Linked DNA regions of Bombyx mori. The protein of the gene in region 1 purifies or fractionates together with the protein of each later gene. This does not show direct contact. Links are inferred from orthologs where the notes say so. Each region holds a gene or a part of one and is shown in the gene's direction. Other genes may lie near its edges.

Region 1 (3,662 bases):
ACAACACTAAACAAGTTTACTACTATTTATTTAAGGTTTGTTATTTTAAATTCGCTACCCCAAGCAGACTGGTCCGCGCAGAGGAAAAACACCATGACCTTCTAAGATTAACAAATTCATTTCGGATATAATTATTATGAAGTATTGAGAAACTTCATGAACTCGAAAATAGCCGTGGCAGACATAATGTAGGTTGGAAAAGGAATCAGTGAATTGAAAAGCATATCTTCTAGTGAAGGAATAGAAGATTTAGGTCCTATACTAAAGTCCTCAAGATAACCTCTCGAGGCTAATGGCATAGGTAGACAAAAATAAATAAAAAAAAACATTACAAAGGTGGGACCAGGACTATTGTGTAGGATTTCAAATTAAAAAGAAACTTGCACACAATTGAAGCAATAATAGTCACATTAGAAAGAATAACAATCTTAGACTTAGTACTTCTTACAGAAATAGGAAGGTGTAACGTTAATAAATAAGATAATGCAATGGGAAAATATGCACATGGTAAAAGATGGAGGCACACAGGCACTTTTGCTTTAGATAATAAATTGACCATTCTCAATGGCTTCTATATGAAAAATCTCTGGCACAGATCTCTTCAAATGGAACATATAAAAAAGAAATTGACTTTATCTTGGCCAAAAAGCCCAAAAACCTTCAAGACGTAAACTTAAACAGAACTTTTCATTCAGATCATAAAATGCTATGCGCTCAACTTACAGGAGCACCTATAAAGAATGATAAAAAAAAAACATTGGACCGTAGACCGCCACTATGCAGAACAGAAGATATTGGACAAGTGTCTGAATTTCGAAAGACACTTTCAAGATTGCCTGAATAAGTTCCGAACAATAACATTCGGACCCTCGGTCTGCCAAACAATTTCAACCGCTACACGTTATTTATAAATTGCGCAGTAATTAAATAAAAGCTGTGTGGTGTTTTATTATAAGACTAGCTGATCCGGCAGACTTCGTAGCGTCTCAATCGATAAATAAAAGACCTAAACTTTTGTATCAAAATAAACTTATAACAAACAAAAGGAATCCGTCCGACCGGGGACACATCAATGGGAAAACAAAATTGTAATTTTTATTTAATTCCGTGCATTTTCATATTTATCTACCTTTTAAACCTTCTCTGAACTTCCACAAATAATACAAGACCAAAATTAGCCAAATCGGTCCAGCTGTTCTTGAGTTTTAGCGAGACTAACGAACAGGAATTCATTTTTATATATATAGATTAAAATATTTTTCAGATACTTCGTAAATGCATCTTAACGCGTTCCCAGCCTCGGATCGAGGGACCACTGGGACAACCTCCATTCGAAAGGCCTTCCATAGCTAAAGCAATAACAAACTTCGTTCTCTACAAGTTCAATTCATTACCACAAAGGGAATGGCAAACAATGTACGATTTGGCCAAGATGTTCCTTCACTGTTTCAATCATTGGAATTTTGAAACGCCCAGCGTCAGGAAGCTGGTGAGTTCCATAAGTCATTATGAAACAATGTTTTTATATAATTAAGTTAGATAATTACCCGTGCGTGTCATGAGGTGTTAAGATTGAAAATTGAGACTTTCTGCTGTGTCCTGAGGAATGTATGGAGATTGATGTTTCCCGCTTTCGTGGGCTTAACCCACGATATCTTAAAAGTGAGCTCTGGGTAGTGCTGAACGGATACCGAAAACATCTGTGGTAGGACTATCCCACTGGCTGGCGACTACTCTCCAACTAAAGTCCGCCGCCAAATAACCTAGTTGTATTCCGCCGTGTGGGTTGGAGAGCCAGTTCTATTCTTCTCCTTTCCTCTTCCATGTTGGGGGTAAACTGTGGTGATGCCACACCCCCGAGCTACGAGATCTGTGGACGGGGATATGGCGGAGGTATAGTGAAACGGTCACCACCGTCGCTCGCCGATCATTAGGCATGAACCTGGGTGTCACTAATGAATTCCGGCTCCGGGAAGCTGTCCTGCCAATCGGTGTAAAAAACCTGTCGTGTCTTGGTCGGAGTGAATCCCGGAGCTCGTACGCAGGGTGAATTGGGGGCCCTTCCAAGCTCAGCGTTAGCTTCTCACACAACCCACGGTCAAACGCTCGCTATGTCCCAAGCTTTATCTTGAAGCCACCTCCAACCTACTACCTCTCCCAATCCTAACTTCTATTTTAGTTATTATGTGAGTCGACTATTATCAAAGCCGGCAATGTGACTTTTGGACAATTATTGGTAAATCAGAAAAACGAATTATTCACTTTGTATTCCATTGGCAGTCACAAAACTCTTCTGAACGACATCTTAGATAAATAACAGGTTAAGTATTAACCTTTATTTAATGCAGGTTTTGAACCGTATTCTTTGGAGGAGACGATTATATTCAAATCAATCTGTATTGACATATCAATAACATTTTTTTGTCCAAATGCACAGATTGCCACCTTTGATAATAGACGACTCATGTATCTGTATCTTTTGTTAATAATAATATGAAAATAAATTAGTGAATATTTATTTCAGCAAGTTTCAAACCCTGAAGATATATCAGCCTACCAGATTAATTATACGAGGTAACTATGATCTTTTAATTAGGTCTATCAGTTTTTATGCGTTCAACCAGGATAGCTCATCTAATATTAAGTGGCTTGCCGAGTTTATGGAAAATACATTGCGAATGTTAACTATCCCAAATTCATCATATTATCTGGAAACGAGGATAATGGTACTAATAGATGGATCATGTAGGTTTACTGGTGGTAGGACCTCTTGTGAGTCCGCGCGTACCACCACCCGCCTTTTTCAGCCGTGAAGCAGTAATGCGTTTCGGTTTGAAGGGTGGGGCAGCCGTTGTAACTATACTTGAGACTTTAGAACTTATATCTCAAGGTACATTTACGTCGTAGATGTCTATGGGCTCCAGTAACCACTTAACAACCAGGTAGTCTGTGAGCTCGTTCACCCATCTAAGCTTTAAAAAAAAAACTTGCATTCCCTATAGAATTGACCAAACATCAGTGTAGGATTATCTAAATTTTTTGTAGCTTTGATTCTTTAAGAAAGTAATCCAAGCAATCTAACTGTGTAGAGCATAACTATACGTAACGTGTCGTTCGTCCGTTGCAACCACGCGATCAGTGCTTTTACGCTATCCAAGCGTCAGTCTCTGTTCTCGTCGAATAGGATCAAGAGTTCGACGTCCAACCTAACCCATAGAGTTCATAGACCATTGAGTTCACCGGATCTTCTCCCTAGTATATTCAGTCAATCACATTAATAGAGTCAGTTTTCGCACAATCGTGAACACTTGCGATTTGAAGTTCATTAATTTCCATCAAAACTAAATGACGAATCCAGAAAGAGTTTTCATATTTTAGTTCTCCTTATGATTTTATTTTAGCATCACTATTCATTAAGAAAAATACACGGATGATTTCAATGCAATCTTTTAATACAATTTTCATTAATTTCGATTGAATGTTTCAATTTGAAATTCGGTACAAACCATTTTTTATGAACTTGAGTTGGTACTGGATATATTTGATTTCAGTAAAGTCATTCATTTAGAACTAATCCGTTTTCTTTTAACAACTACAAATAGTTCAATGCTTTTAAGCTCTTCATGAACTGGTCACCGGTCATTATCCTTCCTGCAAACTAG
Region 2 (4,266 bases), on another chromosome or scaffold:
CGGCAGGAGACATGATCACCGAAAGAATTCAAATCTAAACTCATAGGATTAACCTTAATGTATAATAAGAGAGTGTCAACCTATAGAGCCATCGCTACAACATTTCGACACTGTCATTTTAAAATACGAAATGTCGTATTTCCGCTACTTGTTAAAAAATAAACATATTATCGTTTATGCGTAAACTTTTGTTGCTGTTTTTCAAAATTTCACTTCTAGGAATATTTTCTTTGAGAGTTAAAAAGTAGGGGTTGAAAGTGTAATTTCTCTCATTTGAAAGAGAACTGTCAATATTGAAGCTTTTACATAAAGCTTAGTAAAAATAATACACGTGATGTAATTACAATATATTACCTATGGCCATTACTGTAAACAATAATGTACTTTCTTTTACTTGTATTATGATGTACTTTCAGCAATAATTAGTTTATACATTATATGATTATATTTATTCATTATTACATAATTCACAATATCATTATTCATCCCGTGCAAAGACGGATCACTACTATTGAACATATGATGATTATTAATTGGATTATAAGATATTTTATAAATAGGCCTGAGACATGAAAATACAACATAAACATGATTTAATATGATGGAGAGATAGTAGTTAATAACAGACATATTTATAATTTAAGTTTAAATTTTAAGTATTTTATCAACAACTCTCGCTTGGAAAGAGGGTTTTTTTGAACCCCTAAAAAGAGATCCTAAAAGAATATCTATATTTTTAAAATACTATAAATGTAAAATTGAGTTTTGTTATTGACTCTTAATTTTCATGTTAAATTTTCGCATGCACCTTATCACGGGTAATTTTTCTTAGTACAATGGGAGCGAAGTAGATATGCTATAAAAATTTAATTACAAGGTGTGGTCCTGTCTTCTAAAGCGATCTCTTTCATTCAACCGTTGTATGGATAAGATTCAAGAAAGAAAAGTGTAAATCTACTATGACTAGAACACAAGAATGAAATTGGATATGCCATTGTAATATTTTTCCAATTAGGTATTTCTGCAACTAATATACTAAACTAATATGGTCTTTTCAACTATCTAGGTCCTAGATTCTAGGAGATGGAAATGGAGCAAAATCACTGGACTTGGCTGGTTGGCCTATTACGAAAACTGATATCATTCAAACTTTAAACTATTACCTTTTTTATACCTTAAAAAAGGTAATAGTATGGCTTGGTAATGACACCTTTACGCTTCTCGTGCAAAAGAATTTACTTTAATTTAATTCACGAAGCCCGCTATAGAAAGCAGAGTATTATATACACTTGACATTGGCGAAATCTAAAAGGAAACGCCATAAACCTAAGAGATAGATAGATAAAAGAATTTACTTTTTGAAACAAAGCCTATGAAATACTATTCCTTTGCCTGTTTTTTGGGATCAAACAAAAAGTTATTAATTCATAAACTATAACAGCTGTCTCTTGTTTTGCTTTTGAGTTTTAAAATTTGAATTTTAACTTAATTATAACACCTAATAGTTAGTAAGAATTTTAAAGAAGTGAAATTTCTAATCTAAGTTTGAGGAAAAAAAACCCTTACATTACTACCATTTAAGACAGAAGATACAGTAAGTATATTTAAAATTACTTTAATAAATAAAATGTTACGATTTTCAAGGTTACGGTATAACCTCCTAGTTATAAAAATCACACAGTTTAAATTAAATGATCGCTGTAATGACATTTGTACCAACGACGTACTTGAAAATATCTAATAATATTATACTGTGTAAAGTATAGGTATCTATTGTATGAAAGTAGGTGTATGTAATTAGATCGTGAAATTCCGACACGGTCCAATGATCAGCAACATGTTTAAAGCAGTCGCCCATAAAATAAAAACTATATCCACGACATTCATGTAGGTAAGTCGAGTGAATCAGTCAGTAAGTAAATGAAACGCCGCGGTGATGCAGTCAGTAGATATATAATTTTTTAAAATACTTTTGATGTACATGGAAAGTGTATAACGGAAATTAAAAACCTTTTTATTATCCTACAACAAGTACAACATATTTAGTCTTTTATGGATCAATTCGAAATAAAGTAAGAATTTAATTTTTTAAATATTTTTCTTTAGATTTTGCAGCACCATTTTGTACTTTCTAGTTTTTTTTTTCAATTCAAATTACATGTATGTATTTTAATCATTATTGTTTACTATTTACACAGATTTAGAAGCAGTATTGACAGTAGCTATATTGATTATTTTGTTGTAATGTTTTTTATTTATTTTTACTTAAGCAACTTTTTTTTACAAACAGGTTTATAATAACACATCTTTTTATTGCAGGCTGGTAGATTGACTATGGTAAATTATGGAAATAGAAAATATAGAAGATACTGTAACAGTGAAGCTATTGTTTTTTGCTAAATCAAAAGAATTGTCGGGAGTTAGAGAAACTTCCATAACTTTACCAAGAAAGTTGGGATATCAGAGATTGTTGAATATTATATGCGATAAATATAACTTAAACAGTATTAAGAAAAATATACTTTTGGCTAAGAACGAGGTAGTGTGTGAGGATACAGTAGATATAGAAATTAATGAACAAGACAACTTAGCTGTTATACCACCATTGAGTGGAGGTTAAATAGTATTTCACAGGATGGACCATATAAAATTAACAGTAGATAGACTGTCAGTCGAAGAAATAAGTGAACTTGTAACTGATGATAGCTGCGGTGCAATTTCATTGTTTATTGGCACAACTAGAGACAATTTTGAAGGAAAAAAGGTAAACTTGTATTATTTAAAATTTTCTAGTCATTAGGAAAATAGGTATTTTGTTAAGATTCTGTATGTGAAGCCCGTTGTTCAAAACGGTAATGGCTTTTAACCATTTTAGTGTTAAGTGATATTTCATGTCACTATAGGCAGCAAATTCTTCGTGATCTACAGGATATGGCACCCGGTGCATTCACATCAAGCGACGCAATTTTCTTAATGAAATAGGTTAACAAATGTTCACAAATTATTTCTATAATAAAGGAATAACATTACTTGTTATAAAAATTGAACCCGCAATAATTATAATTTTTGTGTAATTATTGGTGATAGGGCATCATATCTGAGCCCACGCGGGTAAGTACCACCATCCTGCCTATATTTTCCGCGAAGCCGTAATGAGTTTCCGTTTAAAGGGTGGGGAAATTGTTGCAATGAAAAAACTGAGGCTTAGACAAAAAGAGTTTGAAGAGCAACCTAGCCCAAATACATAACCAACTTAATTTCTCGCTGGATTGGATTTCTCTTACTAGGACTATTGTTAGCAAATTCTCTCAGGATGAACCCCATGAGCTTACCAACCCGTCCGTGCGTAGCTGAAGATATAAATAAAGAAAATATGGCCATAACTCTTTGTCTATTTGCATCTTCTAAATTTACAATTTCCAACACAGATATAGTTGTTTACGTTCCATAGATAAGAAATGATTTATTTTATATTATAGTTTGACCTCTTTGAACACTTTTTGTAAACAACAACCAAGTCAGATAAATGTGGTGAAGTAAAAAATATTCATGTAAATGCAGTAAATAACAAGAGATTGTTTAGTCATACCGATGTTAGCAATGATTATATTTCAAAAATTTAAACTCATTTTTATACCTTTGTTTTCAAGTTAAGTCTGTTCATACGGTATGCTGCGGGCCACTTTGAACTAGAAGGTTGTTTCTTCCTAGTTTCGAGATAAAAAAAATATATTTTCGTAACGAGCTCACGGCCCACCTGTTGTTCAGTGGTTACTGGAGTCCATATACATACATCTACATCTCAATTGTTTAGTAATTACGCACGTTACTATTATATCGGATTTTTATTACACGATGTGGAAGTCATTCGTGAACGTGTACTAAGTACGTATTTCATTAGAAATAAACCTTATCGTGACCGCCTAAAATTACATATCCGACCCAGGCCACGAGGCAAATCAAAGGTACCGTCGTCTAAAGAACATCCGACGACATTTATTGAAGTCGTCGTGGCCTAAAGGATAAGACGTCCGGTGCATTCGTATATAGCGATTGCACCGGTGTTCGAACCCCGCAGGCGGGTACCAATTTTTCTAATGAAATACGTACTCAACAAATGTTCACGATTGACTTCCACGGTGAAGGAATAACATCGTGTAATAAAAACGTAACGTGTACAATAAAAGTTTTAACATGTGGTAGGACCTCTTGAGAGTCCGCGCGGGTAGGTACCACCACCCTGCTTATTTCTGCCGTGAAGCAGTA
Region 3 (3,171 bases), on another chromosome or scaffold:
TGTCGTAGAATTGTTGTAAAAACCTTTTTCACATTTTTTGAGACACAGGTACTAGGAAATGAAAAAGCTATCTGTTTAGCATAAAGTTTCAAATTAACAGTCACCGAATCTCTATAAAACTTATTAGTAACAAAAAACATAATAGCTTAAAAAAATAGAGAATATAACACGCTATCGCGTTTTTGTTCATTTGGACATCACTATTGTCAAAACAACACTGGCATCAACATTGCACCACGAGTTTGCGCAATACCTCCAAGCGTACCTAACTCAATAAAAATGTATTTATAAATTTTATTTCAATTTTATTACGTACTTAGTAAATTCAACAATTGACCTTCCCTTTTATATGTATTCACGTCATTCATTTTTAATTTTTCATCGATTTCTGTAAAACTAGGTCATTGACCTGTTTAGTTGATTCAGTTGTCAATTTCTATCTAAAAAGTAGATACCTATTATGTTTTAAAAACGAACTAACACGGACAACGTGTCCTTTGATACGCTAATATACGCTTTCATGGTAGTCAATGTATGCCTAGTAAATCTATGGTAAGCCTACTGATATATTTTATTATATTTTCTAAATAATGTTTTTAAGCACACTGGTCACTCGTAAATCAGCTGTTTACGGGTAACATGATAACGAACGCGAAGCTTTTGTGAACTGAAGGCCATGTTATTTTTTAAAGATGAAATTTTTATTGCTGTTCCTCCCTTCAAACCGGAATGCAATAATGCTTTGTGGCAGAAATGAGCAAGTAATTTCGTTCGTTTCTCATTATATCGACATCGTGCAAATCAAATAATTCTACAAACAACACGAGTGTTCGAACCATTGCTTTTTATTTTTATCAACAATCAACAAGGTTTCAAGCGAATTAAATGGCTGATTAAAATAACAGATTATCAGATTATAATAATTTAACCAAAAAATAATAGCGAAAATAAACTTTTACATACTTTTGAGTAATTTATTTTTTGACCGTGAATTATTTTGGATAATGGTGACTGCTAAATATTTTGAGTTAATTAGACGATAAAGTCGATTTCCCACCAAAGCATACAGTTTAAGTTTATCTCATATTGTCTTGATCTTTGCTGCACTACAAGCCCTCTTCTGGTCTGCATTCGTTAAATGGACATTATGCGTCATCATCAATGCGTGCTTTCTTGCCACCAGTGAATTAAAATTATCACGCAATCCTATATTTTTGTAATATTTTTGGAAAACAGATCGCAATGTTTTTATAGCATGTAACGTGAATAAGATTTGAGGTTTTAATTTTGAAGAATAATAGAAACGTTGAATAAACAACAAATAAACACGTGATAACGCTAAATACTAATTGTGAATTCGGTAGGCTACTACACTGCAGGATCTAACTGCTGGTATTGTCCCATCGTTTTATGTAACTTCACCGGGTATCTCATACAGCATAATAATATAGTTTAAGCCACGATACCTATGAAAACTTTGAAAAAAAGGCATTGTATTCCGAGTACCTATTTTTGAGACTTTTTGTAGCACGGCGACAGGCGGCAGTTACTAACCCTTGTATCCATAGATAATACACATAGAGAGTACTATCGTAACATTCGTAACTGTGTATAATCTATAACTGTGACTGTATGCTCCAATCAATGTCAAGAAATGTCATTAGTGCTTCTGGCGGTTAAATTAATGTTTTCATTTAATTCCAGATTTTATAAATAGGAACGTTATAAACAAAAATGGCTGAAAAACTCGAAGATTTGAATTTACCACTCACAGTTGTAACTAGAATCGTAAAAGAAGCTCTTCCCAGTGGCGTATCGATATCAAAAGAGGCGCGAACTGGCCTCGCTAAGGCGGCTTCAGTTTTTGTACTTTATGTGACTTCAGCAGCTACAAATATTGTTAAGAACAAAAAAAGGAAGGCTCTCACTGGGCAGGACGTGATAGATGCTATGAAAGACATCGAATTTGATAGATTTGTGGAACCTTTAGGAGAAGCTCTGGAACATTACAAGACCATGGCTTCGGCACGAAAATCCGCTTCTATGAAGAAAAAAGATGAACAAGAAGACGCTGAGATTATAGAAGACGATTGAATACTACTGCGACTTGAGTTTAAAATGTATAGTGGCGCTTAGTGGTGTATATTCAGAAACTGTGCTGAAAAACTATATGAAATAAGTTCAAAGAACCCATGCCTGTGTTACAAAAGTGATAAATGTTTAAATGAAACAAGTTTCCCATGAACATTTACAACAGTTACCTCGCAATAATTAATCAGTTGGTAATAATGTATGAAGTGTTTTAAAATTAAATAAACTTTTATTAAAAACAAGTAAACTTCAAAAGCATCCCAAAATGAATTGTGTCCACTTACTTTTACATCAGTAAATTAACTACAATTAAAACTTAGAACTTCTCAAAATTTGTTTTTGCAATTTGCTAAAATTAAAAGTATTTTATTTGATTTATTACTGATATTTTTCTAAACTTAATTTTTACTGCCATAAAAATTACTTAATGTTAGGTTATGTATGTATGTATGTTATGTAAATGTTACAATTATTACTAGATCTGGTCACACATCCTTTTAAAACTTGTAATTATAAGAAAATTTTGTTAGAATCTGGCTTTTCTATTATTTTTCAGTATTCTAGAATAGTCTCAAGAGAAATTAAAATAATGGTTATGTTTGTGTGAAAACCTCCAATTATTTTCATTCAATATATCATACAATATTCAATGCCCTGCTTATCTATGGTGGTAGTTCTCGAAACTTGGTAGTTTGTTTTGGCTTTTGTCAAGAGTGGGACATGACAACCAATTTGAATTAAATGATACGAAATATGAATCAAATGAGTCGACTATTATCAAAGCCGGCAATGTGACTTTTGGACAATTATTGGTAAATCAGAAAAACGAATTATTGACTTTGTATTCTGTTGGCAGTCACAAAACTCTTCTGAACGACATCTTAGATAAATAACAGGTTAAGTATTAACCTTTATTTAATGCAGGTTTTGAACCGTATTCTTTGAAGGAGACGATTATATTCAAATCAATCTGTATTGACATATCAATAACATTTTTTTGTCCAAATGCACAGATTGCCACCTTTGATAATAGACGACTCAAATACAATATAACATCATAGGATAAGATTCAAAATAAGT

Evidence for each region.
Region 2: the proteins of histone acetyltransferase KAT2A (region 1) and molybdopterin synthase catalytic subunit purify together in Drosophila melanogaster (affinity purification with mass spectrometry; 3 studies listed by BioGRID, with this or other methods). This does not show direct contact. The link is inferred for Bombyx mori from reciprocal best matches to the Drosophila melanogaster genes Gcn5 and Mocs2B.
Region 3: the proteins of histone acetyltransferase KAT2A (region 1) and DNA polymerase epsilon subunit 3 purify together in Drosophila melanogaster (affinity purification with mass spectrometry; 3 studies listed by BioGRID). This does not show direct contact. The link is inferred for Bombyx mori from reciprocal best matches to the Drosophila melanogaster genes Gcn5 and Chrac-14.

What each region holds. Positions count from the first base shown.
Region 1 is NC_085120.1:4,787,524-4,791,185, reverse strand, and holds part of histone acetyltransferase KAT2A, read left to right. Parts: coding exon 1-35; intron 36-1,264; coding exon 1,265-1,489; intron 1,490-2,524; coding exon 2,525-2,574; intron 2,575-3,662.
Region 2 is NC_085131.1:1,996,920-2,001,185, reverse strand, and holds the start of molybdopterin synthase catalytic subunit, read left to right. Parts: upstream 1-1,325; 5' UTR 1,326-1,594; intron 1,595-1,665; exon of another isoform or gene 1,666-2,072; intron 2,073-2,319; 5' UTR 2,320-2,635; coding exon 2,636-2,764; intron 2,765-4,266. UniProt on the Drosophila melanogaster protein: Catalytic subunit of the molybdopterin synthase complex, a complex that catalyzes the conversion of precursor Z into molybdopterin.
Region 3 is NC_085130.1:7,455,876-7,459,046, reverse strand, and holds DNA polymerase epsilon subunit 3, read left to right. Parts: upstream 1-1,609; 5' UTR 1,610-1,734; coding exon 1,735-2,094; 3' UTR 2,095-2,623; downstream 2,624-3,171. UniProt on the Drosophila melanogaster protein: Accessory component of the DNA polymerase epsilon complex. Participates in DNA repair and in chromosomal DNA replication. Histone-like protein which promotes nucleosome sliding of ATP-dependent nucleosome remodeling complexes.